4 linked regions of the Diceros bicornis minor genome follow. The main gene of each other region encodes a partner of the protein of the gene in region 3 in a complex. Links are inferred from orthologs where the notes say so. Each region holds a gene or a part of one and is shown on either strand. Other genes may lie near its edges. The genes, in order: NUP214, NUP188, NUP107 and NUP85.

Evidence for each region.
Region 1: NUP107 (region 3) and NUP214 share a complex: the UniProt entries of both Homo sapiens proteins name them as parts of the nuclear pore complex. The link is inferred for Diceros bicornis minor from reciprocal best matches to the Homo sapiens genes NUP107 and NUP214.
Region 2: NUP107 (region 3) and NUP188 share a complex: the UniProt entries of both Homo sapiens proteins name them as parts of the nuclear pore complex. The link is inferred for Diceros bicornis minor from reciprocal best matches to the Homo sapiens genes NUP107 and NUP188.
Region 4: NUP107 (region 3) and NUP85 share a complex: the UniProt entries of both Homo sapiens proteins name them as parts of the nuclear pore complex. The link is inferred for Diceros bicornis minor from reciprocal best matches to the Homo sapiens genes NUP107 and NUP85.

Annotation. Positions count from the first base shown.
Region 1 is NC_080767.1:38,433,023-38,440,464, forward strand, and holds the start of NUP214 (nuclear pore complex protein Nup214), read left to right. Parts: upstream 1-4,433; 5' UTR 4,434-4,512; coding exon 4,513-4,557; intron 4,558-6,810; coding exon 6,811-7,006; intron 7,007-7,442. Other genes in the region: AIF1L (allograft inflammatory factor 1-like), read left to right, coding at 357-444. UniProt on the Homo sapiens protein: Part of the nuclear pore complex. Has a critical role in nucleocytoplasmic transport.
Region 2 is NC_080767.1:36,691,653-36,699,345, forward strand, and holds the start of NUP188 (nucleoporin NUP188), read left to right. Parts: upstream 1-4,687; 5' UTR 4,688-4,706; coding exon 4,707-4,738; intron 4,739-7,693. Other genes in the region: DOLK (dolichol kinase), read right to left, coding at 2,666-4,282. UniProt on the Homo sapiens protein: Component of the nuclear pore complex (NPC), a complex required for the trafficking across the nuclear envelope. Required for proper protein transport into the nucleus.
Region 3 is NC_080756.1:2,509,778-2,517,301, forward strand, and holds the start of NUP107 (nuclear pore complex protein Nup107), read right to left. Parts: upstream 3,015-7,524; 5' UTR 2,873-3,014; coding exon 2,865-2,872; intron 2,215-2,864; exon of another isoform or gene 2,037-2,214; intron 1,557-2,036; exon of another isoform or gene 1,409-1,556; intron 1,208-1,408; coding exon 1,116-1,207; intron 343-1,115; coding exon 256-342; intron 1-255. UniProt on the Homo sapiens protein: Plays a role in the nuclear pore complex (NPC) assembly and/or maintenance. Required for the assembly of peripheral proteins into the NPC. May anchor NUP62 to the NPC. Involved in nephrogenesis.
Region 4 is NC_080757.1:55,717,511-55,724,695, forward strand, and holds the start of NUP85 (nuclear pore complex protein Nup85), read left to right. Parts: upstream 1-4,182; 5' UTR 4,183-4,383; coding exon 4,384-4,416; intron 4,417-7,185. UniProt on the Homo sapiens protein: Essential component of the nuclear pore complex (NPC) that seems to be required for NPC assembly and maintenance. As part of the NPC Nup107-160 subcomplex plays a role in RNA export and in tethering NUP96/Nup98 and NUP153 to the nucleus.

The sequences.
Region 1 (7,442 bases), on a different chromosome or scaffold from region 3:
TTTTTGAAGATCTGAAGGGGTTTTGAGCAGAGCCATGGGCCAGGCAGCGTGGTTAGGAGAAGGCTCATGGCCTATAAGTCAATGATCTGGAGTCCCCTCCTGCCTTGGACTGCCTGTGTGGCTCTGAGGAGTCACATTGCCACTCTGCGTCTCAGTTTTCTCCTCTGTAAAGTGGGACTAGCAGCCCCTTCCACATTGCTGCCTTCATGGGCTTCCGAGAAGATTCCACTTAAGGATGGATGCAAGGGCATTCTGTTGAGAACCCTGCTGATGTGAGGGCTGGGATGATCTTTTCTTGGATGAGGGAAGGGGTCTTAATCCTGTTTTGTTTTGTTTTTTCTCCATCTCCAAACCAGAGTCATGATGTTTGAAGGGAAAGCCAATGAGAGCAGCCCCAAGCCAGTCGGCCCCCCTCCAGAGAGAGACATTGCCAGCCTGCCCTGAGGACCCCTGCCTGGACCTGCCCCGCCCTCCCTGCCCCTGTTCCTCCTCCTGATCTCGCTGCCCTCTCGACTCATTGTGATTTGTCTTATTTGTTTTGTTTGGTCCTTGTGCGTTTGTTTGTTTGTTTCATTGGCAGAATCAGTGATCTTTTTGTAAAGCACAAATTATCTGCCTTAAGGGGGCTCTGGGTGGGGAATCCTGAGTCTTGGGTCCCCTCCCTCTCTTCTCCCATCCGTCCCTTCTCCCTGTGCAGAAGGGCTTGACATCAAACCAAAAACCGGAGGGGCAGGGCTAGGACAGGGAGACTGGAAGCCTGTGATCCCCACGCTTGAAGCTGGCACCGTCCATCCTTCCAGGACGTCTCTGAGCTAAGTCCAGGCTAGCTGCCCTGGCCTGGGTGAGGACCTCAGCCCACTTATAGGAGACCCTGGGGTAGCCTCCTTAGGGTTTCCTTGGACAGCTTTGTTGTTCCAGTGCTCTTGTGTTGTCCAGGACGTGGCCACTCAGTGTCCCACTGCCCCACCTGATCCCCCCTCAGTCCACACTTCTTCTCATCCTCAGTGAGGTGACATAAGGAGACAAAGAGAGGGGCTTGGCAACTTGAGTCCTTCAAGAAGGTTCAGGAAGGAATCCTCTGGCTTGCCCCCTGGCCACACCTTTACAGGCAGCTCAGAGGGAGGGTGCAGCCTGCCGTCCCTTGCTGGGGCAGCAAAGGGCTTTGGAGGTAGAGGGGAGGCCAGGGGCCTTGAGGGGGTCAGCTCATCTAGTCCTACCTTTTATAGTCCTACCTTTTAGGGAGGATGCTGAGGGCATCCTCAGCATAGGAGATAGGGAGATAGGAGATATCAGCATAGGAGAATGAGGATTAAAATGCTCATGGCAAAAAGAGTCAACCCCACTGTTAAGCCAAGAGCTGAGAAATAGGAGGTTGCCTTTCTCATTCAAATCTGCTTGAAACCTGACTGCACTTCCCCCATTTGCCTTTCCACCTTACTCACACCATTCATTCATTCATTCATTCACTCAGTCATTCAACAGATATTTATTGACAACCTATTATAAGCTTTAAGTCCCCCTACTTTGTCCTGCCATGTGCTGTGTCCACTGTCTCGCTTACTCATCTCTCCGTTTCCAAATTGCCTAAAACCTTGAGCTTGGGGATTGGATTGGGGTCACCTGTGTCCTTTATTATGGACTCACAGGGTTTCAGAGCCCGGATCCACCCTGTAAGTTATCTGAGCCAGTCCTCTCATTTCACAGGCGAGAAAACTGTCGTGGTCCACAGGGATTAAGTGCCTTGCGCAAGGTCAGGGGTTAATCTGGAGCTGGAAGAGTCTGGACTGAAGCCCACGTGTGCAGATGCCCTGCCCATGCTTCATCTCTGCCCTGGGCTGTCTCAGTCAGGGATGAAAACAAGGGAAGGGGCAGGGAGGGGCATGCTCCTAGGTCAACACTTGAGGAAGGCCCAGGCCAGGACTCCCCCTTCCCGGTGCCCCCGAGTCAGCATCAGGGTTTGGGTAAGGACCAGGCCTGCCTTTGCAGTCCTGCCTTCCCTAGAGCTTCTCGGCCAAGCTGCTTCTCAGAACTCATGCAGGAAGGTGTCACTCTCGGCCCCATCTTGGCTGAGCAGGAACCCCAGCCTTGACCCCACCTGTGTTCTGGAGCCCCTTACCCTACTGGCTCAGAGATGCACTCATCCATTGAACATATTTATTAAGCACCTGCTATGGGTCAAGAGCTAAGAACCCAGTAGGGAAATAGACTCCTGGAATTTAGAGTCTTGTGGGGAAGTCACACCCAGACGATAATGAGTGAGATGAAGGTTAGGAAAGAGGGGGATATGAGGTGACTGCACTGCAATCCTGGGGGTACCTAGCTAGGCCCCAGACTGGGCAAGAGTCTTGGAGAAGCCTTCGCAAAACCTTAAGTGGAAAGGTCTGGGGACTGTTGGAGGTTGGAGCTAGTGTGGGCTCCCTGCAGCTCCTTAGTGACCCATAATCAAGGGCCCAAGGAGCGGCCCTTACAGCAGCTTGAGGGTATGGAGCCGGTAGGGGATGGGGAAATGGCCAGGTTGGGTTAATCTGCTGGTCTAAACCAGTTCAGGAGCAAGATTATTTGGCCATGACTGGCTGATCTTCAGCCTAAGGAGCTGCTTCAAATGCACAGGCCCAGCTGAAGTTTAAACCCCAGCAAAACATTCCTTCCTCTAAATGTAAAATTTCACCCCACCTCCTGCCCTCCCTTGGTGGTTTTTGTTTTTTCGCCTGAGATCCTTACATGAGCAACTGCCTGTCCCCACCCCTTCCCACTGCCTCTCCTCTCAGAGACCTTTGAGCAAGGTAAAGCCTTCCTTGACTACCCATCATAGTCTAGGACTGTTCCTCACTCAGAGAGGAGGGCAGAACCAACCAGGCTTATTTCAGCAGGTTCCACACTTTACAAGACTGCAGGAAGCCTCCTTAAGGGAGGAGAGCAAGTGAGTGTGTCCCCAGCTTCTGGAAAGGGCAGGAAAGAGAGTTCTCTCATTGGATGGGGGGTGTCCTGGGAAACCTTATCAGTTCCCTTCACCATTTCTCGGAACTCAACCCCTGGAGGGAGTGAATCTCAAGAGCGGTCCCTGGAAAGGGGGTCTGCATGTATTTCAGGTTGTGGCTATTGGCTCTAGGACTGTTCTCTGGCTAAGGGCTCAGCTTCTTAGAACTTCAGCTGTCTTCTTTCTGAAAGACCAAATCTAACTAATGTAACCAGCAACTTGGGGGCTGCCAAGTATGGCTTTGTCCCTGCAACTCAAAAGGAAGGAGTGTGTCGGGCAAGTTCAGGTGGATGCGGTATGTGTGTGTGTGTGAGTGTGTATGGTGCCGGATATCGTGTCTACAGACTGGAAATAAAACAGACAAACTTATCAATGTCTTCATTGGTGTATTTTGGGGATGGTTTGGGGCTCAGCAAATTCAGAAAAGCTATGTAATATAGTAACAGACCGAATGAATGTGTCCTGTGTGCTAGGCTCTCTTAAATGCTGAGCTTCATTTACTCCTCACAACAACCCCATGAGCCAGGTTCTACTATGTCATCCTTGTTTTATAAATGAGAAGCAGGCTTGGAGCAGATGAGCAGTTTGCTGACAACCAAACAGTAAGTGGCAGAGCATGGAGCTGACTCACCGGCTCCAAGTTAAGAATCTTTGTCCTAGAGCATTTATAATATAATTCCACTACAAAAACCTCTACGTAGGACTGTCTAATAGTCATCAACCAGCAGATCCAGAGAAGCTGAATTCTCAGGCTGCCTCTGCTACTTTCTGACTAAGGGGCACTGGGGAATTTTCTTAACTTCTCTGGGCTTCCAGTTACTTCATCAATTAAACGGCAATGATGCCCCTAGGTGACTAGGATGTCTTGAAGATTACATAACACATCTGAAGTGTTCTGCGGTTTCCAGGGTCTTGCCCTGTAAATGATAACCTTGAAAGGAGTAAACAAGGCTGACCTTTGGTGCCTTTTAACCTCCCCTTTCAGCCTTCGTGCTTAGACACGTGGAGAGGTCCCACCCCGCCACCTTTCTGAACCTCTTTTCCTCCACACCCCCCTCCAAACCTCTCTCAAGAGCCGCCCCTGGAAATATCTGTGAAGTAGCGGGAACTATTAACCACCTACACCCCGGGGTTACTGTGAAGTCTCCAGCGAACAAACGGAGCGCTCGCGCGGGCGCCCGCTGCCCAATGAATGAAACCAACTCGAGGCGAGCCCGCGCTGAGCGCGAACGCGGGGGCGGCACGTGGACTCTCCCGGGCGCGAGCATGGGCCCTGGGGCCACGGGCCCTACTCGGCCGAGCCGGCCAATGGGAGGCGGCGGCCAGGATTGCGCGCGACTTCAGACGGGCCCCCAGCCTCCCTCCACCACGCGGCGGACGGAAGCGCGTGACGTCAGCACAGCGCGCCGGAAATGTGGCGTTCGCTGCGCGCCGCTAACGCCGAGGAAAGGAAGTTGGCCTCGGGGCGGTCTGGGCTGTGTGGGCAAGGCCGCGGGCGGCAGCGGCGGCTGCTTCGACCAGCTGAGGGCGGCACGATGGGAGACGAGATGGATGCCATGATCCCCGAGCGGGAGATGAAGGTCAGAGACTGGCCGGGGCCTCCCTCCCTTGCTTAGTCGCGGCGTTGCCTTGGAGCCGCGCTGAACGGCGAAGCGCGGGTTCTGCCCCGCCTCCGGCTTGAACAGTTGCCGCGTTCCGAGTTGTCACCGGCGCGCCCCGGAGCACTCTGCCCCGCCGCCGGCGTGGAAGCCCCCCCGAACGCAGTTTCCCCGCCCCTTGCTGCTCTTGTGCGCGCCACTCGAGTTACCCTGGCTCCTGTCACGTGGTGGTCGGAGGCGTGGCGATAACTACCGTGTGTTGAGCGATTACTGTGTGCCAGGCACTGTGATTACCGTGTGGTGATCATCACAGCAACGCCGCGAAGTAGTCGTTAATGTAGAGGAGCAAATGGGGCTCGGAAAGCAGCTTACTCAAAGTCACATTTGACAAGGCGGCTGAAATCCAGGGATGTCTTGTTTAAGAGCCTCTCTTCTTCACTCGCACGGTACCACCTCTGTAAGGTGGGCCAGGCTTGCCTAACACAGAGCTGGGGTTCGTCACCTGTCCTACAAAACCTTTGGTTAAGTGGAATAGGAGGACTGTTCTGGTGCTGGGAATCAGCCAAAAAAGAGGGTCAGGTGATCCAAATGATGGTTATAAACACCTGAAAGGGAGTGAATTGCAGGAAGATTTTAGGCGTTTGAACAAGAAATCACTGAAATGTGTTTTGGGTGGTAATCCATACCGTATTTAGAGTAGTGCTTCTCTCTTCGTTCTTGAGAATCACTGTGGGTGAGCCACCCAGTGAGAGTGTGGCGTTTTCCTCAGAGATGCCGAGGTGGAAGGAAAAAAAGGTTTTAAAACCACAGCCTTTGAGGATGATAGTCTGCCTTTGAGTTACTGATTATAACAGAAAGGAGAGCTCTGCTGTACCTCTTCGTCCCACTGGCTCCCTATGCCCGTGTGACTATGACCCAAATAGGAAATTTGGGATGATCAGGATGAGAATGACAAAGACTGAAAATTTTATTCTACTGTATGAAACCACAGTATGGTCTCACCTGGAAAGTGGTGTGAATTTCTGATCACCGTACTCAGGTGGAGTTAAGAAGGGTATTTCCTTTAATCTTTTAGCAAATATGTATTCAACATCGAATCCAAGGAAATTAGTATGTGGGGTATGTTAGGGGTCCTGTATGAAGCGCCATAAGTACAAAAATGGAGGCTGAGAAAAACTCTCTTTGGCTTTTACAGTTTTGGAATGTAAGCAAAAGGGGATTCACATTTTTTTCACCAAAACTTTGACTTGAAGATAGGTTTGGAATTGAAGGAAAAAAACTGTATATAGTACAACTTAACATAGTGATTGGTAAACCTAGGGAACTCTGTTACCGGGAGGTGGTACACACTGAAAATTGTCTTTGAAAGCATATAGGTAAGTTCATGGAAGACTAGGTGAGTCAGGCATTGACAGATCGGGGAAGGCTCCCAGGCCCTGAGGCCCTTGAAAATGGAAGGAAATGAAAACTGATAGTGGGTGGGGGTTGGAGGTGTGACAGTGGGTGTGGCAGAGGTGATGGCACACTTGTGGGAGGGAAGCGGTGTTGTGAGGTGAGGCTCTGTAGGTGGATGGGTCAGCCCCTTCCTGGCCTTATAGCCTGCCTGAAGGGTCTTGGACTTGTGTTTAGATGTCTTTTAGCATCTAGGTATGTTTATAGGACTTGAACACCAAGACATTGACCATACATATCCTTTTCTGTGATGGATTTTTTTATCATTTGGTGCAGGTAAGCCCATTCTTGGGATCTGGTTCTTTCTGTGGTCATTATTTCCATATATATATTTATTGAGGGCTGCACTGGAAGTTCCAGCTTACAGCAGAGTTGGAGAATGCTTTCAGTATTTAACAACAGTTTGTTAAGCATTACTCTGGGTCCTGAGCAATGCATACCATGAAATAGGACAAGATTATAAATAATAAAGTGCAGCTTGTGTGGTGGTTTAGGACAATAAGTTAACTAGGAATTCAGAAAAGATCAGTGTGAGCTGGATTAGTCAAGGAAGGCTTCATGAAAGAATTTTGAAAGTTTTATTTCATTCAATAAATACTAACAAGCAGTGTGCCAGGCACCACACTATGCATAGGAAACTTAAAAATGATTGAGCCACACAGTCTTTGGCCTCAGGGTAGTATATCTTTTTGTTGTACTGGAATTGGGTCTACTGGAATATAATGACAGACATTTAATTTCCTGTTTTCCCTAAATTGGTCTTGTTTTGATCTCTCACAACAGGATTTTCAGTTTAGAGCACTGAAGAAGGTGAGAATCTTTGATTCCCCTGAGGAGTTGCCCAAAGAACGCTCAAGTCTGCTTGCTGTGTCCAACAAATACGGTCTGGTCTTTGCTGGTGGAGCCAGTGGGTTGCAGATTTTTCCTACTAAAAATCTCCTTATTCAAAATAAACCTGGAGACGATCCCAATAAGATAGGTAAGTTACTTGCTTTGTGTCGGTAGTAGAGAGAGGAGTGTGGTGAAGTGTGAATGTAGTTTCCTTCCCAAGAAAATCATTCCAGTATTAAAATTAAAACTGCTGTTAGTCCTAAGGTTGACCCCCAAGGAGAATAAGTTCCAGGTAGGATGCTGGAAGCCTTTCAGGGTGTTCTCTTTGGTCCTTTGTATTTCTCTTTCAATGAGTTGTTCCTCTGAGCTCAGGGGGAAGAAGAATTTACCATTCTGCCATGCTTTTGTTTTCGCTCAGTTGAAGTTGGGTTCTGGCTCTCTAGGAGAAGGATTTTGTTGCATGGCTTTTTAATTAACACAACAGTCCCATCCAAACAAATGGGAATGTGTACTCTTTAGACCATTGTTGCAAAAATATGGGTACAGGACACTGTTTTCAACAAGGGCAGCAGCCACAGTTAGTT
Region 2 (7,693 bases), on a different chromosome or scaffold from region 3:
AGATGAGAGCCCTGCTGAAAATCACCCCAGGTCCCCCAGCCCAGCCTGGGGAGGGTTGCCTGATTTTTATACCAGTAAGTAACATTTCGTGGGTGCTCACCATGCCGAGAGCTCCACGTGCCTCGTCTCACTGAGTCCTCACTCCTTCCAGGTCTGGGCTCTCACCATCCACATTTACAGGTGAAGAAGCTGAGGCACGGGGAGCCCCAGTCACACAGCTGTGCAGTTGTTCAGCAAGGGCAGCCGGATCCAGGGCCTGTGCTTCTAACCTCTCCACTCCTGGGCCTCCTTGCTTGCGGAGGAGAAAGACCGGGACTGGGAATCCAGAGTCCCATATCTGGTCCTGGCTCTGTGACCAACTTGCTTTCTGGCCTCAGGCCAGGCCCTTCCTCTCTCTGGGTCTGTTATGCAACTTGCACAATCGGGGCCAGACGAGGGCCTCTTGCTTGGGCATGCTTGGCAGGCACCCAGACCTTCTGCGGGAATGACCACCAAATTGAAAACCTGCTTAGCTGGAGCCTGGCCTGGAGGTTGCAAACTGGGCGCCACTGGCTGATTTCAGACCACAGATGTGTTTTGTCTGGGCCTCAACATTTTTATGAAAACTTTTTAAATTTGGGAGATGTCACATAACAATCCAGGTCTGTAAGCTTCCTTGACTGGGCAGGTCAACCACACTGGGCCTGTGGTCTAGCATGGTGACGACTGGCTGGAGGTGTCCCCTTAGTGGCACGCGTCCTCTCTGCTTCCCACTTCCCCTGTCCTCCTTTGTGGCATTACCTGCCTGGCCTCAGCAGCCATGTAAGTTTGTGACCTTGATTTCCAGCCCCCACCGTCTACGTGGACAAACCAAGGCCCAGAGGACAGAGGCCTTTCCCAGGGCTGCCCAGGGAGTCAGTGAGGCAAAACTGTGCCCTCCTCCAGCGTTTTGCTGCCTCCTAGGCAAGCCGTAGACGGCAGCCTGAGAGAGGGAAGGGTTTCTTAAGTCCCCTCTGAGCCCCAAAGGAATGTCCTCTCCAGGAAAGGGCTTGGCAGTCATCCCCCGGCAGAAGCAAGAGCTCCCGAAAGCTCCGCTCCTGGCTTCTGGCCTTGGCGGGCCAAAGTTCTCACCTCTTCCTGCTACGCCCCTCCCTGCCACGCTGGGTAAGAAGGGGGCATAACTTCGTCCAGCCTCAGGAAACCTGCTCTGCTATTTTCCCACTGATGGGAAAGGTTCATCCATTCAGGAAACGTCTACTGAGTTCCTGCTACATGCCAGGCTCTGCTGGCACCAGGGGATGCGGTGGTGAACCAGGCAGACCCAGACTCTGTCCTCACAGAGAGCAAGGCTAGAGCATGGCCCCCCAAGTAGAGCTATTCTGACCTCTCAGTAAACTCTGTCAGCTCCCTAAGCTCTAATTTCTTGACAAGAGAAGAGACAAACACAGGTTTGGACAAGACTGGAGTGTGAGAGGGTCTCAGGAGGGACCCCTTGACAAGGATCCTGTGCTGTCCAGCCGGTCTTTCATCAGCACCACTCAGCCAGGCAGCAGAGACACTGAGGCAGGGGTGGGGTTGACTGAAACAGGAAGTCAGCCCAGAGACTGATCCTCTTCCTTCAGCCCTTCCACACACGCAACAAGCTGATCCCACCTCTCCCCTTCAGCTCTTCCTAGTCCAAATGGGAGAAACCACATGCACTTGGCTCTTTTCCTCTTGGGTTCTCCTGCAAGTGAAGCCAGGGGAGTAAGGTTCCTCTGTCTCCGAGGACACCCCAGAAACTCTCTAGCTTGCCTGGCTTTTTGCTGAGATGAGGACTGGCCTTGAGTAATCATAACACTTTCCCTTACTGATTGCTCACGATGTGCAATCACTGGGCTGGACATGTCATACACCTCACCTCACTGGATCCTCACACCACCATGTGAGGTGCCGGCTCTTATTATTCTCATCTTGCAGACAGAACTAAGCCCCAGAGTGGTTAAGCAACTCACACAGTTGAAGAAGTGGTGCAGCCAAGGATTCTGACCAGATTACCTTGACAGCAGAACCTGCAGTGTTAACCATTACGCTCTCCTGCCTCCAGTGTCCACTCCGGCCTCCTCTGAAGACTGCAAGGCAGGGGACGGGGGGCTACAGCACACTCAAGTTCTTTGATTTGTTGCAATATTCTTTAATTAAGCCTTTTTGCTTTTTATTTTTAATTTTTTTGTGAGGAAGATCAGCCCTGAGCTAACATCCATGCCAATCCTCCTCTTTTTGCTGAGGAAGACCGGCTCTGAGCTAACATCTATTGCCAATCCTCCCCTTTTTCCCCTTTTTCTCCCCAAAGCCCCAGTAGATAGTTGTATGTCATAGTCGCACATCCTTCTAGTTGCTGTATGTGGGATGCCACCACAGCATGGCCGGACAAGCAGTGTGTTGGGACGCGCCCAGGATCTGAACCCAGGCCGCCAGTAGCGGAGCGCGCACACTTATCCGCTACGTCACGGGGCCGGCCCCATTGCTTTTTAAATATTAGCGAAACGAAAACCCGGTGATCTTGGATTTTTATTTTGAATCTGAATCAACTGAAAAATCAAATCTGCTTCTCACTCCTTGGCTCTTCATGCCCAACTGTCTGGCTGCTGTGGGGACCATTCATCCTCCCCTTGGCCCTGTTTCCTCCATCACTGCTGCACAGCAGCTAGGCCATCAGCAATATCAGGAGGTAGAGAGGCAAAAGGAGATTGTCTATCTGTGTAGTGTATGCTTCGAGGAGGGACACGATGCTGATGGACCCCAAAATCCAAGCATAACTGTAGTTCAGGTCTACTCCACTGTCAAAGATTAAGATCAGAGCTACAGAAATGATCTGGGCAAATATAGACGTCATGGTCCCCTCAAAGGTCTTTTTGGTTCCAGGCCAGCGGATCTCCCCCATAGCACTGCCGAAGATGGAGGCCACCGTGTCACCCACACCCACGGCCAGGACGCCTGCATAGGGGACTAGGGCCCTTGCTCCTCCTAGACTACCCTTCTGTGTGCAGGGTCTGGGGACTAGCCAAACGGGAAGAGACACGCCAAGGAGCAGGTAGATGTGTGTCAGGATGAGCGGTCCACTGTCTCGTTCATCCAGGAAGAGGGACAGGAGGCTCCGCAGAGTGTGGCCCAGGGGCTTGATGCGGAAGTAGCGTACATACTCCAGGAAGATGAAGACTGCCAGACATACGGTGGCGGCCACGTAGAGCAGCGTCCGGTCAAAGATGATACCTGGGACGTAGGTGGCCACTACAATGAAGTGGAAATACTTTCGGGCAATGGTGGGGGCCTGGTGCTTTTTGGACTCAGAAGATGAGCGCTTGGCATTCTGGTACAGCACCACCAGGCAGGCCAAGGTGGCCAGCAGAGTCCAGTAGGCTAAGAGGTAGATGCGGGTGTTTGTCTGGAGGAGGAATTGAAGAAGCCAGAGCAAGGGGTTCCTGCGGATGAGCCGGTGCAGCCAGGGCAGGACCACACCCAGACCCAGCACACAGGTCATGAGGTGGAAAAATATGGAGGAGGCCCAGGTACCTGAGTCCATGAAGACAAAGAGGGTGCTGAAGAAGATGCCCATGAGCACCATTCCCACTACCACCACTAGCAGGAAAAAGTCCACTGGGTCCCCCTGGCTTTCCACCACAGTCAGGGAGCGCTTGATGAGCTGGTTGAGCATGAAGCTGATGCCACCCAGTACCAGCAGTGCCTCCCCAGGGGTGAAGCAGCGGGGCAACAGGTACAGCAGGATCATGTTGAGATAGACGAAGATTAGCAGGACCTCCAAGACCTCGATCACCTCTCCCACACTCAGTGAGTGCTTCATGATATATATGATGACACCTCCAGCCAAGCCCGAGATGACACAAGTGTTGGTGGGCACCGGGCGAGTGATGCCCAGCGCCAACACTGATGAGAAGAGGGCCACTGCCATGCCAGTGGCTGCCACCACAATTCCAAAGCGTTCGAAGTATGGGTTCCCCGCAGACTGGCAGCGCTCCTTCATGACCAGTCCGAGCAAAGGCATGACCACTGAGGTGGGCAGTAGGCCACTGTTTGCGGACGTTCGGAACTGGAAGACAGCGCTCCCCTGCTGTAGCAGCCGGTCCCACTTGTACTGGACGTAGAAGGCCTGCACTGCGAGGGCTACGGCGCACCACGAGTATCGGTCCCACACGGCCGCGTGGATGCTCAGCACCACTGCGAACACCACTGCCGCCTCTGCCAGCACCGACCCGCTCAGCGGAGCCCCGGTTCCCGGGGCCGGGGGAGCGCAATCTCGGGTCATGTCTCTAGACCTGGGACCCCGGGGAAACCAGGGTGATTAGGGACTCCGTGGACTCTGGGCCCCTCAAGCCCCGCCAGGCAGAAAGCGGCAGCTTCACCCAGCCAGCACCTTCTCTCTCCGTTCTCCAGCTGCGAGGAGGAAAGCTCCACTGTAGGCCACTCTCTGCGGCCCGGGTGCTGGCGCCCGGTCACCCCTCACCGCCTCTCATCTACGTCGCAGACGTCGCCATTCGGCCGCCTTCCTCACAGCCTCGGCCGCCCTCGCCGCAGATTCCTCACCTCTCAGGGCAGCGCCATCTTGGCCCCGCCCCACCATGCCATCACGTGATGTAAGGCCCCGTCCACGCGCCAGCCGGGGGGGGGGGTGGGTAGGTCACGTGGGCGCGGCGTCTGGGGGCGGGGCTGGGGCGCGCGGGCGCGCGAAGATGGCGGCGGCCGCCGGCGGGCCGTGTGTGAGGTGCGGAGCGGGCCGAGTTGGCGGGGGTGGGTGTGAGGCGCCGAGTCCTAGCCGAGCGGAAGCGGGGCGGGAGTTGGGGCGAGATGTGGTGGCGGCGGCGGGCGAAGCCCGGCTAGGCGGACGGGCGCCGAGACGGGAGGCGGTTACGTCCAAACTGTCCCGGCGCGCGGGGATCTGAGGTGACTTCTCCGAGAGGCGGGCCGGTGCCTCACCCCTTCGCTCGGCGCCGGCCTCCTGTCTCCTCGCTCGGGCCCTTTCTCTCCTCCCCTGTCCCCGCCGGCGCGTCCCTCGGCGCCCCCCCGCGCTTCCTCGTCCGGTGTGACGCTCCCTCGAGGCGCCCCGGGGCACTTCGCGGTCGCGGGGAGCCCCCGCCCCGGCCCGCCGCCGCCTCCTGCGCTGCCCGGCGGCGCTCCCCGGGTCCCCATGTGCTCGTGCTCGGAGTCGCCGAGCCCCTCCGGGCAGTTCTGCTCTCCGTCCTCGCGCGGCCTTCCATTCATCCGTCTGTTCCTCTCCTCGTGCGTCGGTTCCGTCCGCCAACCTGCCCGCGTTCTCGGGGAGGCCCCGGCGCCGTCCTGGGCTTGGGGACAGGGGGTGAAGTAGAAGCAGAAAGAGACAGTTGTTACTTCCAGGGCGCTTCCGAGCGCCGGCCCCCGCGCATGTCCCTGGAACTCTCCCGACTCCGTGGGCACCTTGGGCTTCACCGATGGCTCGCGGGTCCGGCTCAGAACTGGCTGAGCGGTCAAGCGAGCGTCCAAGCCCGGGTCCGAGGCTTTAACCCGATCCCCGCACCTCCGTCTTCCAAGTTACGGCGTGAAGCGTCGCCCTTCTCCCTGCCGCCCTCCCTCCTGAAATGAGCTAAACGTTCCTGTCGCTTAGTGCTCCCTGGGCCCGCGGTGTTGCCCCGCTTCGTCTGTTTCGCCGCTGTATCCGCAGCCCCCAGAAGAGCGCGTAATAGGCTGCCAGAAAATATTTGTTATGAATGTTGCTCGTTTTATCTGATGGCACTTCCTTCACCTCTCAGCTCGAGGTTTTCTTCTCCGGAATTTCCATTGAACTGCTTCTGCACCTTGTGAGGACCAGTCTGCTTTTTCCGCCTCTGCTGTTTCATGTCAGCTCTCATGTTGGGCAGCATTGTGGTCACTGTGCCCTCCTTTTCTTAGGCTTAGTTCTTAGTCGTTGGGGAGTTTGGGTCAAGTTTAGCTCTTGCAGGGTAAGGCGCGTTCTTTGATGAAAGAGAACAAGGGAAGGAAGGCATTGGTTTGCCTGAAAGATGCTTTGATCATCCCGGGGAACCTACCAAACTCATGCCTGACTGCTTTGCTCCTAGCCCCTGTTAGGAGAATGCACTTTCTTTTTGTGCTGGAAGGCTCCTTACAACGACTGGGGTTATACTGAGCAGCAGCCTTCTGTTTGAAATGCTTGGAGGTCTGGACTAGGAGAAAACTGAAATTCTGTTCCTGCTGCCTGCTGATTTGCAGATGACCGCAGACAGGCCAGCTTACCGTTTGAGCCTGTTTCTCCAAGTATTTCAGAGTAACGGTGAGGTGGTTCTGAAGCATGTAGGGAAATCATTGTGAAAAATAGAGTAATATCCTTAAATCACTCAGGGTTTTGGGAAAGTCAGGGTTTTGCAGAAAGTCAGTTTGAATATTGACATTTTTGGATGTCTCTTAGTGTGTGTTCTTCAGTTAGTGTGTTTGTAGAAGTCTGAGTGGTGTACGTGTGTTAAAAAGACAACTGTGGTTTGAAAAGGTTACTGCTAAGCTTAAATCTCAATTCATGCAAGAGAGTCATACTTCATCCTTGGAGTCAGGGGATCCGTGGGCAGTGGGCACTTTTATTTATCATCTCCATGGGGAATATCACCATGTTTCTCACAAGAACTATCTCAGAGTAGGTTGGCTGTGTCTCAGCCTTCTTACCAAAACGACTCAGTTGTAGAGACTTATTCCTAACCTAGAAGCTTTCCCCCAAAGGTTTCCAACCCCATGGATCTCTCTAAGGAAGATAGCTTCCAGTTTCTGTTAACTCCAGCTCTTTTAGGAATGGAGTTCCATGTTGTCTGCTAGAGCATTGGACTGGAAGTCAGTAATTTTGTGTGTGTGTGTGTGTGTGTGTGTGTGTGAGGAAGATCAGCCCTGTGCTAACATCTGCCAATCCTCCTCTTTTTGCTGAGGAAGACCGGCCCTGGGCTAGCATCCGTCTCCATCTTCCTCCACTTTATATGGGACGCCGCCACAGCATGGCTTGACAAGCGGTGCGTCAATGCACGCCTGGAATCCAAACCCGCGCACCCTGGGCCGCTGCAGCGCAGCGCGCACACCCAACCGCTTGGGCCACTGGACCAGCCCCTCAATAAGTTTTTTAACTTTACTTTTGAGGCGAGTTATTTAGTTTCTGTGCCTTAGTTTCTCCTGGAAATACTTAGCTCAGATTTATTTATTGTGCAAATAAATGAGCGATACTGTAGCAGTTAGTTTGTTTCTTGAAAATACGTGTAGAAGATGTTACCCTGAGGCTTTGGATTGGAAAGCACAGTTCCATCTATGTCTGTTGTATCTTGAGAATCACCTGCTCAAACCTTCAGGTCCCAATTTGAGGTGAAGTTTTCATTGATCCCTGCATTGGTTCCCAGTGAGCTCTCTCTTCTCTGACTCTTTTCTGCCCCGTGTGGTTATATTCCTTTGTGGTGTGTAATTGTTAGGATCACGCCGTTTATTACTTTATACTTTTTTGCTGATTGTGTAATGTGTGTTTAACATCCTTTGTCATTCGCAACAGTAAGCTTATGAGCATTGTGATGGTCTTAGATTTGTTTGTATTCCTATTATTCCTAGACCATAAATGTGTAGGAATTGAGGAACAAGTAACACTCATTGCCACAAGGATTCCCTTCCTGGTAAACTACAATCTTCTCCTTCATTTTGCCTTCTCTTGAGACTTCTGCATATAATG
Region 3 (7,524 bases):
TTATCTGCATTAACTTCTCTAAGTCTTACTTTCAGTTTTGGCAAAATAGAGATAATACCTATGTCATAGTTACCGTGCATTTGCGTAAGTACAGTGCCTGAAACATGGTTAAGAGTGCAACAAATAGTCACTACAATCATTGTTATTGTTCTTAATTATTGATACTGCAACCAAATGTTATATTTATTATGTGTATTATAAGAGTTAGCTGCTATTATTATTCTTATTAAATGCTTTAAAAGCAAAAAACCTTACAGGGTGGTCGAAATGAGCTGGGAGTTTGAGGGATACCCTGGTTTCTTGGTGTAGTATTGGCAAAAATTTCATCTTGGGATGCCCGAACTGTGGGAAGAGTTAAGAAAGTTTTCCATGCAGAAAAGACACCATTCAAGTTAGAACTAACCATATTTACACTATAAAAAATATGTGAATACATTTTTCAAAACCAAGGTATTTTATGGCTACCATTTTCTCTATGCCAAGAGTAAATAATTCCCTCTACGATTTAAATTCTCAGATATCAGTCTTTTTTGTGTGTGTGTGAGGAAGATCAGCTCTGAGCTAACATCCGATGCCAATCCTCCTCTTTTATTTTTTTGCTGAGGAAGGCTGGCCCTGAGCTAACATCTGTGCCCAGCTTCCTCCACTTTATATGGGATGCCACCACAGCATGGCCTGACAAGTGGTGCGTCGGTGTTCGCCTGGGATCCGAACCTGCGAACCCCAGGCCGCTGAAGCAGAGTGCGTGCACTTAAACCGCTTGCGCCACCAGGCCGGCCCCAGATATCAGTCTTAAGATTACTACACACTGAACTAAGAGTTCTCAGTCAGATTTCAAATAAAAAAAAGATGTCTAATCTCAGCAGAAGCTAACCACAATATGATAGCAGTAAAATGGAACATCTTTATTTTCAGGAAAACATAAATCTTAATTTCATTGAATTTCAGCATTATATTTGCCAAATAACATATCTGGAGAGTTGAAAAAACTAATTTCCACAGCATTTTATTATTATAGCTAGTGTTTAATACCTCTCACACACAAAAAATCTATAATCCTGATTCCAAACATGTTGCAGTTTTTTTAATAATGATGCTTAAAGCACAAAGGATACTTAGAACTCTTTTTTGAGCACTCTGTTTCCGTGCAGTCCGTGTCACCTCCGCCTCCCGGATCACAGGGGATGACATTTCTCCAAAGCCACTCCTAAAATGGCATAATCAAGCTCATGTAAATGAAATCAGAATGCAGCATTTGCAAAGAACTTTATCATCATGATTGGAGCAAAGAACCCTGAGTCAGTCAAGGTACAAATCATCCCAGGAGCCAAGTCTTTGATCATTTTGTTGACAATACCCTTCTGGCTCCAAATCCTGCTTCTCCCTCCAAGTCTCTCTCCAATTTTACCTGCACAAAGGCTTCTCTGACTTTCTGGCATTCACTGTGGTATTTTCTCCTTTGGAATTATTTCAACACTTGGAATCTATATTATAACACTGTTTTAGATAACCGCCTCACGAAGGTCAATCTTTCCTCTGATGGATTGAGGAGTTCCCTAAAATTTCAGGAACAATCTCTTAAAAGGATCTCCTATAGTCTCCAAGATACTTCAAACCATAGGTACTATGAAAAAATCTGTTGTTTGAGCTGGTGAGATGGGAAGATAGTAAAAAACCAATTCTAGTAAACTGGAGAGAAATGATCCTTCCAGTTATTTCTCCCCAGAGTACACTGAGGGTTCTCCTGTCTCAGCACTATTGTGGTCACAATGCTTCAGCCCTCCCCTGTCACTCTCAGACCAAGATCTACAAAATAAACTGTGTGAATTAGGAGACTTGTATTTTAAGTCAACAATCCAATATGCTTTTCCTCCACTTCAATCCTTCAGATAGCTACCTCTGGCCTACAGACTCAAGTCCACGGTTTTTACACCTGACCTCAAACTTATCAGTTCAGTCACAAACATCACCCCCATACAAACATATACAGCATGTGACTATTCAGCTACACAAAGCATGCAGTTTCATATTCTTACCTTTTCTTTTACCGGGGCCTATGTTTGCCCCCTTGGCCCACCTGGTGAACACTTGCTTACTCATCAAACAGCCTCCTGCAGTCTGCAGACACACAGCCAGGCTGGCAACTTGGTTCTTCTATTTACTAGCTTCCTAACCTTGACCCAGTTCCTTATCCTCTTTCAGCCCCAGTGTTACCTATGAGAAGAGGATCGTAGCACCCATCCTCATAGGACTGGTATGAAGATTCAATTAGCTAATACTACACGAAAAGGGTTTAAGACACTCGATGTCGGCTGCTATTATCATTCAAAGACCAACTAGAAAGTCGGCTCCTTTGGGAGGTCTTCCTGAAACCGCCCCCTCGTCTCCCCCCACAGCGCAGCAGGAAACACTTCTCACTTCGTGCTGCGCGGTAGTCTCCCGCACCACACAAGAACTCGCATAACTCATCTGCGTCGCAGGCGGCTAGCAGCGCCAGGGTCACAGAGAACTCAAGTCAGTGGCTGTCCGCTGCTGGAGCTGCGGTCAGCAAGCCTGGGCTGCGGTCCCCGTTCTCGCCGACTGGCCGGGACCTCGCAGGGCACGCAGCATCTCCTCCCACCCCGCCCCCCAGGAGCGGGAAACGGGAGAAAGAGCACAAGAGACGGCGGAGCCGCCGCGGGGACGCGGGGACTGTGGCCAGCCGTGTCCCCCCGACCCCGGCTGCAGTCTCCCCGCCGGGGAAGGAGGCCTGGGCAGCACCCGGCCCTCCCGGCTTCCTCTGCGCGTCGGGGGTCACCTATTTCGCTCTGCTGACAAGCAGGAGGGACAAGTCTCCCAGCTCAGCCGTCACCACCGCAACTGACCTGTCCATGGCTACAGCCTGCCCCACCGAGAGCCTTGCAGTCTCGGCTCCAGCTTAGCCACCGCGTTTCAGCCTTCCCGCTCTCCGGAAGCAAATCCTTCGACCCGGAAGTATGTCCTCGCTAAGCCGCCGTAGAGAAAAGACGTGGGGGGAGGGGGGACGGCGACCAACTTTCTCATCGAGCGCATGCGCACCTTCTTCCGCCTGCAGCCGCAGATCCGACCTGCGCAGGCGCGAAAGTGTGCTAGCGTGTGAAGACGATGCGGGGGGCCGGGCCGGGCCGGGCCGGGGCAGGGCCGGGCCAGTGACGCGCCGCCGCCACTGCCTGACTGACATGTGTGGGCGTGGCCCCGGCGCCGGGGTGTCCTATGGGAAACGGCGTCGGCTGACGGTCCAGGAAGACGTGCAGTCACTTCCGGGTGTTCTCTGTGAGAGGGGCCGGGGCCGGGGACAGGGGCTCTCGCTTGTGTGCGTCGTGTCTGTGGAGCTGTTACCGTGATGGCTCCTTGTCTTCACTGGGTGTCTTCCTCTTAAGGAGAAAGGGCTCCTCTTTAGCAAGGACGAGCTTTGGGGCAAAGCGTTGGCCAGCGTTAGTTCATGTGCAGCGCTTGTTGGAGAGGGGCCCGGGTCACGTCTACACAGTCAGCACACGCGCAGCGAATGTTTCAAAATGTAGTCATGTCAGCGCCTTAAAGCTCTATGGGACGAACTCCTGTGTGGTGCGCGTCGTGTACATCCCAGCCTCGTTGTAGGGCCCTGCGTTTCCTGACATGCACTGCGGCTACCTGGAGGAGGAGAGAATGTTCTAGAAGCCTGTCCGGCGCCCACGGAATGGTTCAGAAGCTGGAGGAGAGGCCAGGAAGCGGCGCCCGAGCGCCCCCCCACCCCCCCCCACCCCCACAGCGCCCCTGTAGCGCCCCGAGCCGGGCCGTGTGGAGAGAGCGCCCCCTCGCTCGCCCCCCTTCTCCTGCGCCCCCCCCGCCCCCACAGCAGAGGGGAGCAGACGTGACCTTGTCTTCCCCGACTGTTCGTTTTGAAAACTTGGAGACTACAGAAAGCTGTAGCGACAGCACGACAGGCGTCGATGCGCTCCTCCCTGGCCCCCCCCCCACTGCTAACATCGCCCCACGACTGTTCTCCCCTTTTTTGCCTGAGCCGTTTGCAAGTTAGTTGTAGCCGTCTTGACGCTTCACCCCAAAGCCTTCAGACTTCCCGAGTCAAGGACAAAACGTCGTGCCCCCAGTACGGTAAAACACGCGCCGGGAACGTCTCCCGCTGACGGAGTCCCGTCACCGACGTGTTCAGACCTGCCCCGTTGTCTGATAACGGCCCGTACGGAGCCCCCCTCCAGCGCGGGACCTGGCGGGGCGGGGTGCGTCGGTTGTCGCGTCTCCGTATTCTGCTCTCGTTTGGAACAGTCCCCTAGACTTTTCTTTTAAATCATTAATATTTCCAAGAGTTCAGGCCAATTTTTCCAGAATGTTCCTCAGTTTGGATTTGTCCGATGTGTTCTGAGGACAGGCACTTGATGAACGTTTGGAGGGACGCGGCGCGGGAGGCTGCCCAGGAGCTGCCCGGGTTTCACTGGATGCCCTGGAGGCACGTGAGGTCGGCGTGTCTGTTCCAGAAGCCCCCTAACCCTCCGTCCTCACAGGAAAGCGTCCTTTCCAGCTGTCTCTGCTCGGCGCTCTTCCCAGCCAAACCTGTGTTTTGGTAAACTGTGATGAGCTGTTTGCTGGTGTTCTTACCATAAATCCAATGGATGTGGCGATTACAGAACGGTAAGATAACAGACATAAGCAAATAGAGAAATTAAAGAATTCCCAGGCCGGCCTGCGGCTTAGCGGTTAAGTGCGTGCGCTCCGCTGCTGGCGGCCCGGGTTCGGATCCCAGACGCGCACCGACGCACCGCTTCTCCTGCGGTGCTGAGGCCACGTCCCACATACAGCAACTAGAGGGATGTGCAACTATGACGTACAGCTACTGGGGCTTTGGGGAGAAAAAAAGGAGGAGGATTGGCAATGGATGTTAGCTCAGAGCCGGTCTTCCTCAGCAAAAAGAAGAGGATTAGCATGGATGTTAGCTCAGGGCTGATCTTCCTCATAAAATAAATAAATAAATAAAATAAATACATTGTTAAAAAAGAAATTCCCATGATTCCATTATCTATATCTGACTACAGTCCCGTGAGAGACTCATCGGAACCACCTGGTGGGGTCCAGTGGACCCGCAGAGCCCAGCAAGTTGATGGTGTCTGACGCCACTCTGTCGGGGTGGCCTGCTGCGCCGCAATCCGTAGGGGAGCAAGTGGGGTCGTACTGTAAGAGTGTTATAGTCTGCTTTTTCACTTAACAGTGTGAGCGTCTTATCATATCAAATATCATTCATCTACATCGGGCTCAATTTAGGCAGACGTTGAAGGCGTAACCTTCCTTTTTGTCTCCGTTTACATTTACCGTGCAACCTAGTGCAGTCTGACCTCCGCCCTCGCTGCTGAGTGAAAACTGCTGGAAAAGGTCGCCAGTGATCCTCTGTCAGTGGAAGTTTGTTTTTCATTCCCCATCCTCTGTGGAACACTTGACACCCTAGACCGCTCTCCTCGCTGCCACCCTCCTGCCCCTCCCTGGCATGCCTTTACTCGGCTTCTGCTTCCTTCTGGCTTCTCTCCACTAGTCTCCTCCGTAGGCTCTTGAACTCTGCCCTTCCCTTAAACGTCAACTGATCTTCCCCAGAACTCTGCCCATCTACTTCCTACTAGATCCCAGCTTGGAGTTGTACCCCTGCCTTGCTTTTGTATTCCAGACTCACTGCACCCACTTGCTTCCTGGACGTGCCCACTCTTGAGGATACAGAGTATGTGAAATGTCACGTGTGCTAACTCTAAATTTGGACCCAGCAGGCCTACCCCTCCCTCACTTCCCACCGAAACAACCTCACAACTACAACCATACCTCTCCTCCTGTATTTGCCGTCTTAGCAAGTGGCGACATCCAGTTACCCAAGCCAAAAATCTGGAATCTACTCTCAATAGGACTGAAGTTTCACAAGGGTAGACGTCTTTATCTGTTTTGCTTGGGGTTGTATCCCTTTAAATATCGGTCTATCGGGCCGACCAGGTGGCGTGAGCGGTTAAGTGCGCACTCCGCTGCGGCGGCCTGTGGTTCACTAGTTCGGATCCCGGGCGTGCACCAACTCACTGCTTGGCAAGCCATGCTGTGGCGGCGTCCCATATAAAGTGGAGGAAGATGGGCATGGATGTTAGCCTAGGGCCAGTCTTCCTCAAACAAAACAAAACAAAACAAAAAATCAGGATTGGCAGATGTTAGCACAGGGCTGATCTCATAAATATCGGTCCATCAGTGATTCTCCTCTCATTCCCCACGTCTGCTTTGTTACCAAATCTTCAATCTGTCTTCCCATTTCCACTGCTACTTTCTTGTGCCTGACTCATCATCTCTTCACTGTAGCTCCTCCAACTGCACTTTTTTCTCCATATTGCTAAGAGAGTGTCTTCCAAAAATGCAAATCTGATCATGTCACTCACCTTTCAGTTTCCTCCTGATTTTAATTTTAACTCCAAACTACTTGACTCAGCCTTCAGCATCTCATTTGCCTGTCTGGCATCGTCTTGCCATTGTCTCTAGCTCAAATTCGATACTCCAGCTGTATTCAACTACAGTTCCCCAAACATTCTGTGGCCATTTGGCGGATGTTCCTCACTCCTACCAAACAGAGGCAGAGAGGGAATAAACCAATGCCCACATCATAGACTGCTATGCAGTCATTAAAAGGCTGTTTAGAGAGAGTTTGTAATAATTTGGAAATGTTTGTTTTGCTTTAAATGAGGGAAACAGGTTGTCATATAGTATGTAACGTTATGCTCAGAAACAATGTAAAAATGCATAAAGAAATACTGAAGCCCGGGGTGGGGTCATGGTGATAAAGGGATGAATAGGCAGATCACAGAGGTTTTCCAGGGCAGTAAAAACACTCAGTATGATACTATAATGGTGGATACATGTCATATATATTTGTCCAAACCCATAGAATGTACAACACCAAGAGTGAACCCTATGTAAACTATGGACTTTGGGTGATTGTGATGTGTTAATGTGGGTTCACTGATTATAACAAATGTTCCACCCTGGTGGGGGATGTGGATAAGGGGGGAGGCTATGATGTGTGGGGACGGGGGGTGGGTATATGGGAAATCTCTGTACCTTTCTCTCAATTTTGCTGTGAACCTAAAACTGCTCTAAAAAAATGAAGTCTTTTTAAAAAAAATCTGAATGAAGATCATACCAAATGTTGATTGTGGTTGTCTTTGGTGAAACTAGATGATTTTATTGTTTTATTTAAAGCAACTTATTTTCATAGCATGGTCCAATTGAAATTCAAAGGAATATTTTAATAAATTCATTAAGAATTCCAGTGAGTCAGATATGAATCTAGTGAATTAAGTTATGGTAGGTGCTTAATTCTTTTTTCCATGTCCAAAAGATAGAAGAATTTTGAATACAGTTGTAGGATACACTGCAGCTTATATAAAACAAAAGGAAGTACTTAGATTATTAGCAGTTTGTTCAGATATGAGATGGTCTTGGGTTTTTTAAGTTTTATTTTAATATTTGGGGAGTAGTTTTATTCTTCTGTCGGTTGTC
Region 4 (7,185 bases), on a different chromosome or scaffold from region 3:
TGCCAATCCTCTTTTTTTTTGTTGTTGAGGAAAGACTGGCTCTAGGCTAACATCCGTGCCCATCTTCCTCCACTTTATATGGGATGCTGCCACAGCACGGCTTGCCAAGCGGTGTGTCGGTGTGCGCCCGGGATCCGAACCGGTGAACCCCAGGCCACCGCAGCACAGAGCGTGCACTTAACCTCTTGCGCCACCGGGCCGGCCCCCTTAAATTGAAAATTATGTAGTAAACACGCTAAAAGATAACTTTTGTCTGATTATTAGAGTAATAATACTCATTCCTGCCAGCCTTTCTTTCTACATATTAATAGATACATTTTTTACAAAATTGAGAAAATTTTTAACAAAATTTTACTGAACTTTGTAAAATTTTGCTACAATTACCTTTTAATGATTGTGTAGCATTTCCTAGCTGTGAGACATTTATTTCCTTTTTTTTTTGGTGATTATTCAAAGTGTCCTTCTTGGTTATTCCCTGGAAGTGCAATTATGGAGACAAAAAGGTGAACATTTTAAAACTTCTTTAAGGGGTCAGCCCAGTGGCGTAAAGGTTAAGTTCGCATGCTCTGCTTTGGCGGCCCGGGGTTTGCAGCTTTGGATCTTGGGCGTGGACCTACGTGCCACTTATCAAGCCATACCGTGGCGGCATCCCATATACAAAGTAGAGGAAGATGGGCACAGATGTTAGCTCAGTGACAATCTTCTTCAGCAAAAAGAGGAGGATTGGCAACACACGTCAGCTCAGGGCTAATCTTCCTCACCAAAAAAATAAATAAATAAATAAAATAAAACTTCTTTAAAGATTTTTCCATGTTCTTATCAGTCTTCAGAGTTCTAAATAGGTGAATAATATCTCATTGATACATTTACTTAGCTGTTCCTCTATTCCACTCTGGTTGAGCATCTATGCCAGTAGCTCTCAACAGAGGTGATTTTGCCCCCTAGGGGACACTGGGAATATCTAGGGACATTTTTGGTGGTCACAATTGTTGAGGGGTATTAATGACATCTAATGGATAGAGGCCAGGGATTCTGATAAACGTACTGCAATGCAAAAGACAGCTCTCATAACAGAATTATTTGGCCCCAAATGTCAATAGTGTGGAGGTTGAGAAAATTTGTTGTTGTTATATATAGCACGTACCAAAATTCATATATCTTTTATATTTTGAAATTATTTGAAATAAATTTTCAAGAGAGGATTTACTGGGTCAAACTATATAAATATTTGTATGGCTCTTGATAATAGATTTCTACCTTGTTTTCCAAGACAATGATGTCTCTTGAAAATGATTATGTATTTATTTCTCTGCAGGGTAGGGAGCATTAGTTTTACTGGGATGCATTAAATGCATCCACTCAGCACTTTACATAGGCCACATCTCTAGCACAGTTCCTCTGGCTTGATCTGAGAATGATTTTAAGTTTGACTTTGGAGTGACTTAAAGTGATTTTTTTTTTTTTAAGATTTTATTTATTTATTTTTTCCCCCCAAAGCCCCAGTAGATAGTTGTATGTCATAGCTGCACATCCTTCCAGTTGCTGTTTGTGGGACGCGGCCTCAGCGTGGCCAGAGAAGCAGTGCGTCGGTCCGCGCCTGGGATCCGAACCCGGGCTGCCACCAGCGGAGCGTGCGCACTTAACCGCTACGCCACAGGGCCGACCCCGAGTGATTTCTGGTTTGACTCTTGTACAATAGGTATGTTTTTTTTTAATTAATTAATTAATTAATTATTTTTTGTGAGGAAGATCAGCCCTGAGCTAACATCCGTGCTAATCCTCCTCTTTTTGCTGAGGAAGACCGTCTCTGAGCTAACATCTATTGCCAATCCTCCTCCTTTTTTTCCCCAAAACCCCAGTAGCTAGTTGTACGTCATAGTTGCACATCCTTCTAGTTGCTGTATGTGGGACGTGGCCTCAGCATGGCCGGAGAAGCCGGTGCCTCGGTGCCTTGGTGCGCGCCCAGGATCCGAACCCGGGTCGCCAGTAGCAGAGCGCGTGCACTTAACCGCTAAGCCACAGGGCCAGCCCGGTATGTTTTGTTTTAGATTTTTATTTGATTCCAGAAATATTTTACTCTTTTTGTCTTCTTAGGGTTCTGATATACCTCAAGTGAAGTGTCTCCTGCATAACTGAAGACTGGCCAGAGTAGATACAGGAATTCCAGAGTTAAACCAACCAATCTAGGGAGAGGAGGGGGAAGAGAGAGGAGAGGAGATTGTGTAGCACAGGGAAGAGAAAAAGATTTGTATGCTGATTATTTAACTTGTTTTTCCAAATGTATTCCTTTAAGATTATCTGTTTAAAAAAAAAGGATAAACTACTTCATTGAAACCCCATTCTTGGAAGTCTATTTGAGAAGGACTAGAAGGAAGAAAAAGGTCTATATATAGAATAATAATAGCTCTATTAGCTGTAGTTTTTCTTTTTTCCCTCTATTAATGAATATATTCAAATGATTGTGTAAAGTTGCTGGTATATCATGGTCTTAGACCAAGAATATTTTCAACACTTTTTTCCAATATTATCTAGCTCTAGGTCAGACAATTTCAATACTTCTATTATCTTCAAATGGCAATGTCAGTCATAAAATATCAAGAAACTATAGTACTAAAATTTTCCAAGCTCTTTTGTCATTCAAATTATTTTTTCTCAGGTCTCCTTTTGAGAAAGGTGGTTTTTCTTTTTGGTCTTTCATCCTGTTATTTTTTTCCTTTCCTTCTATTCATCCTGTTCCCCAGAATAATTTTCTCTGAAGGAAATTAGGCATGATTTCTATCAATGTCTATTAAGCTTGGCTTTCACTTCTGCTGCTCAAAGAATTCTGAATAGCCAGAGCAGATATAATAAACAGTTTTTAAAAACTGATTTATCTGCTACTGAATGTTTATTTTACTTTTGGAAAACGTTAGCCCTCTTTTTACCCCCTAGAAAATGGACATGAATGCATAATTTCTCATACTTCATAGCCACTCCACTGGTATCAGAAACAGCGAAACTTTTGGAAAATGCAGCAAGACATAGATGGTGGAACAGTATGGAGTTTTGTGCAAAACTACACTAAATTTCATACTATGGATGGCGTCTTCAGAGATAAGGATTTGGATAAAACTGTAATAGCCACAGAATTTTCCTTCCTTTACCTCACAAGAACAAACTACTGAGGTGACAGGATTTTCTCAACTACTCCAAGTCATCTTATTTCTACCAATTCAAATAGATCGTTCAGAATCGTCTCAAAGAAAGAAGGGTTTCCCCAGGTAAAATACTGAAAATTTGTCGTTTTCAGGTCAAATTTCTTTCCTAAATAAAAGCAGCTGCTATATTTTCAGGAACTGTTTCCTAAGACTTATTTTTTTTTTCTGAAGACAAATCTGAAAATTTTTTTTTCAAGTTTGTTTTTATTTTTTTAAATTTTTTGTTTATTGCCGTAACATTGGTTTATAACATTGTAAAAATTTCAGGTGTACATCACCTAAGACTTATTTTTAAATTTCGAATTATCTTCAGTTCGTTCAAAAGGTGCTTATTTGGGAATTTAGAACCAGTACTGTTCTCTTCCTTGTATGTGCATGTATTTGTAAATATGGCATTAACAAAATAAGTAACTGCTTTAAGTTATTGGAGCACTTTTGAGTTTTCCATAACAAGGTCTGGGATTCCCTGATTTGAGTTTTTTTTTTTTTTCTGTTTTTCTTTAGTGAGACAACAAACCAATATTTGCGTTTAATTAAGCAAGCCCAGCTGTCTCAGTTTCAGTTGGTTAAGCCTCATCAATTTTGTCCGCGTGCCTCTTGAGCGTTTTGGGGTAGGCGTGGCGGCGACTGCCTTCCTACAGAAGCCCGATGGACAGACGCAGCTCGGGAAGAGGTTCGCTTGCCCTGGACAAAGCTCTGACAAGCGGCCGCGACGACGCTAACCAGCAGACCAAAACGAGCAAAGAAACCCAGCACCAGGACACTCGTCGGACTCACTCACGCCTGGAAGCTCCGCTCTCTCCCAAGAACGGCCGCCCAGCCCGCGCACGCGCAGCCGCTCCCGCCGTCCCCGGGGCGGGGTGGGGGTGGGGGTCTTCTCCCGGCCCCGCGAGGGGCTGTCCGCGGCGGCGCCTGATCTGGCGGGAGAGGTACTGTGAGGACAGGCTGCCCTGGCGCAGTTTTCCCTGACGTGTTGTCGAGGCCAGGAAGGAGGCACACGTGTAGAGTGCCTCAGAGGGGTAGCCATGGCCGAGAGGAGAGACCCCTGCAGCGTCGGGGGTTCGGGCCCGCAGGCAGTGCAGGAGGCGCTCAAGCGGGGGTCCTCCCTCGGGCGAGCTCTGAGCGGGAGGCCAGAGCCAGGAGCATTGGCGAACCTGCGAATTCCAGGTGGTTGAGGCGCGGCGCTATGGAGGAGCTCGATGGCGAGCCGACAGTCACTGTAAGGGCGTCTGGAACAGTCTTGCTTGCGCTCGCGGTGCGAGGATTGAGTCTGCTCCGTCCCTGCCGGCTTATCTACCTCCCTGCCGCTCGAGAGGCGCCCCGTCCCCTTCCCTCAGCTTAATTGCCGCTGTCCGGGGGTCATATTAACTAGGTGCCTGTGTTTGGGTCACAGTGATCGCTGGGTTTCTGCTCCTTTGTATACTCAGAATACCTGGCCCCGGAGCCCCCACCTCATCCCTCTCCTTTCCTTGTCTGTCTTCCCTACCTTCCTCCTTCCCTCGCTTTTCCTCTTGGGCTAATGCTCTAATGAATGGGCTCGGACCAAGCAGAGGAATCCGGGCTTTTTTCCTCCAGCCGAACTAAGCTTCACATCGCAGCGCCATTAGCTTGGCTTCTGCTTGTAGTGCCGTGCTGGCCCGAGGTTTATCTATCTCTCGGGAGTCTGTTCCTGTTTTTATTGCTCTGTTTGCTTTCAATTTTATTTGTACTCTGAAGAGAGTATGTCAAGTGTGAATGATCTATGATGTTTATAAAGAGATTCATGGCTTTTAGATACGAGATATCTACTGTTGCCCCTGTCTGGAATGCTCTTCTCTCTTAGGTTTATCTCTTGTTCACTTTTCAAATGCAAGCTCCAGCAGCCTCTTGCTCAGGAAAGCCTTCTCTGACCTCCCTGACTAGGTCACATATCTCCGTCTCCCCGTTATAGGCTGGTTCTGCACCTCCTAGCTCTTGGTAACCTATAAGCCCCACTAAACTGCAAGTTGCCTGACCTTGCGTTTTTGCTTTTTAGAAAGTTGAAATGCCTACAGTTTTCAACTAAAGGCATCACATTGCAAAGCAGTGTCTGACAAAACCGGAAATTGAAAAAAGGGTCATTTCAAAGCTAACTGGATGAAAGGAGACATAAGATCTTAAATAACAGTTAACATGGGTTGTTACTCTCTGTAAAGCTTACTGCTATAGAGTGTGTTAAATTTTAAAACATAAAGAAAGTACTTTAAGTATTAAATATCCATCAAGGACTATGTCAGTGTTTGCAGGAAGAAAAATTAGAATATCAGAATCACTGGAACTTTTTCAAACTACATGTCATCTTGCCTTTCCCTCCTCCTCTTACATCATAATCTGGTTGGGGAAACCTTCCCAGTACGCTGTGCAACACTGGAGAGCCACTACTTTGATAATGAGCCATGCATTTACAAGTGGAATGAAGATAATCTAAGCTTATTTTTATCCCCAGTAGTGATGATTGATTTGTGGTAACCCAGCTCTACGCTGGTATTGGGGAGACCAGGTAGGAAACTGGTTGGTCTTGTGGGTACAGCCTCACAGAGGGGTATTATCTTGGTAGAACTCCATAGTCTCGAGTCTGAACCTCAGCTCTGCAAGGTCAAACTCGGTCATGTCTGTATTTGAGAGTTAGTCTGCTCTTTGGACTAGAGTCTGCTCTACACACTCGCAAGAGACTGATGTATAATCCTACCATTAAGTCACCTTTTGTAGTGGTTGTGTCTGTTCTTCATGCAACTGCTTCCTATTATCAAGGCACATGAAGGCTAGTTAGTAATTAGCAGATTCAAGGATGTTTTAAGTATAGATTCAGAGTAGAGAGTAGAATAATCTAAAGTAGTTTTTCTAGACCTTATCCTTTTGGTTCAAAGACTCAAGAAATGTAAGCTGCAGTTTTTGTTGCCTTTTTTTGTGTGTTTGTTTCTGGATAACTACCTAGAAATGGAATTGCTGGGTTATAGGACAGGTGCATATTTAGCTAAAATAAACTATCAGTTCTCCAAAGTGGTTATATCATTTTTTTTTGCACCAGCAAAGTGTGAGAGTTCTAGTTCCACATCTTTGTCAACTCTTTGTATGGTCAGTCTTTTTAATTTTAGCCATTGCCGTTCTAGTGGGTATATAGTGGTAGCTCATTATTATTTCCATTTGTGTTTCCCTAGTGATGAAAGATATTGAGCATCTTTTTATGTGTTTACATGTCATTTGTATATCTTCTTTGGTGAAGTGTCTGTTAAAATCTTTTGCCCATTTTGTTATTGGCTTTCCTTTTTTTTTTTTTTTTTTTTGATGAGGAAGATTGTCCCTGAGCTAACACCTGTGCCAGTCTTCCCCTATTTTGTATATGGGATGCTGCCACAGCATGGTTTGATGAGCGATGCGTAGGTCTCTGCCGGGGATCCAAACCAGTGAACCCTGGGCCGACAGAGCGGAGTGTGCAAACTTAACCGCTGTGCCACTGGGCTGGCCCCTGTTACTGGGTTTCTTTTTTTTTTTTTTTTTTTTTTGTGAGGAGATCAGCCCTGAGCTAACATCCGCCAATCCTCCTCTTTTTTTCGCTGAGGAAGACGGCCCTGGGCTAACGTCGCTGCCTATCTTCCTCCACTTTATATGGGACGCCACCACAGCATGGCTTACCAAGCAGTGCGTCGGTGCGCGCCCGGCATCCGAACCAGCGAACCCCGGGCCGCCGCAGCGGAGCGCGCGCACTTAACCGCTTGCGCCACCGGGCCGGCCCCTGTTACTGGGTTTCTTAACGAATTGTAAGAGTTCTTTATATATTCTGGCATCAAGTATGTGTTTTGCAGATATTTTCTCCCAGTTTGTGGCTTGCTTTTTCATTCTCTTAACAATATCTTTACAGAGCAAAAGTTTTTAATTTTGATGAAGTCCAGTTTATAAATTTTTCTTCTATAATTTGTGCTTTTGGTGTCCTATTTTTGCTGACTTTACAGTCAGAAAGATTTTCTTCTGT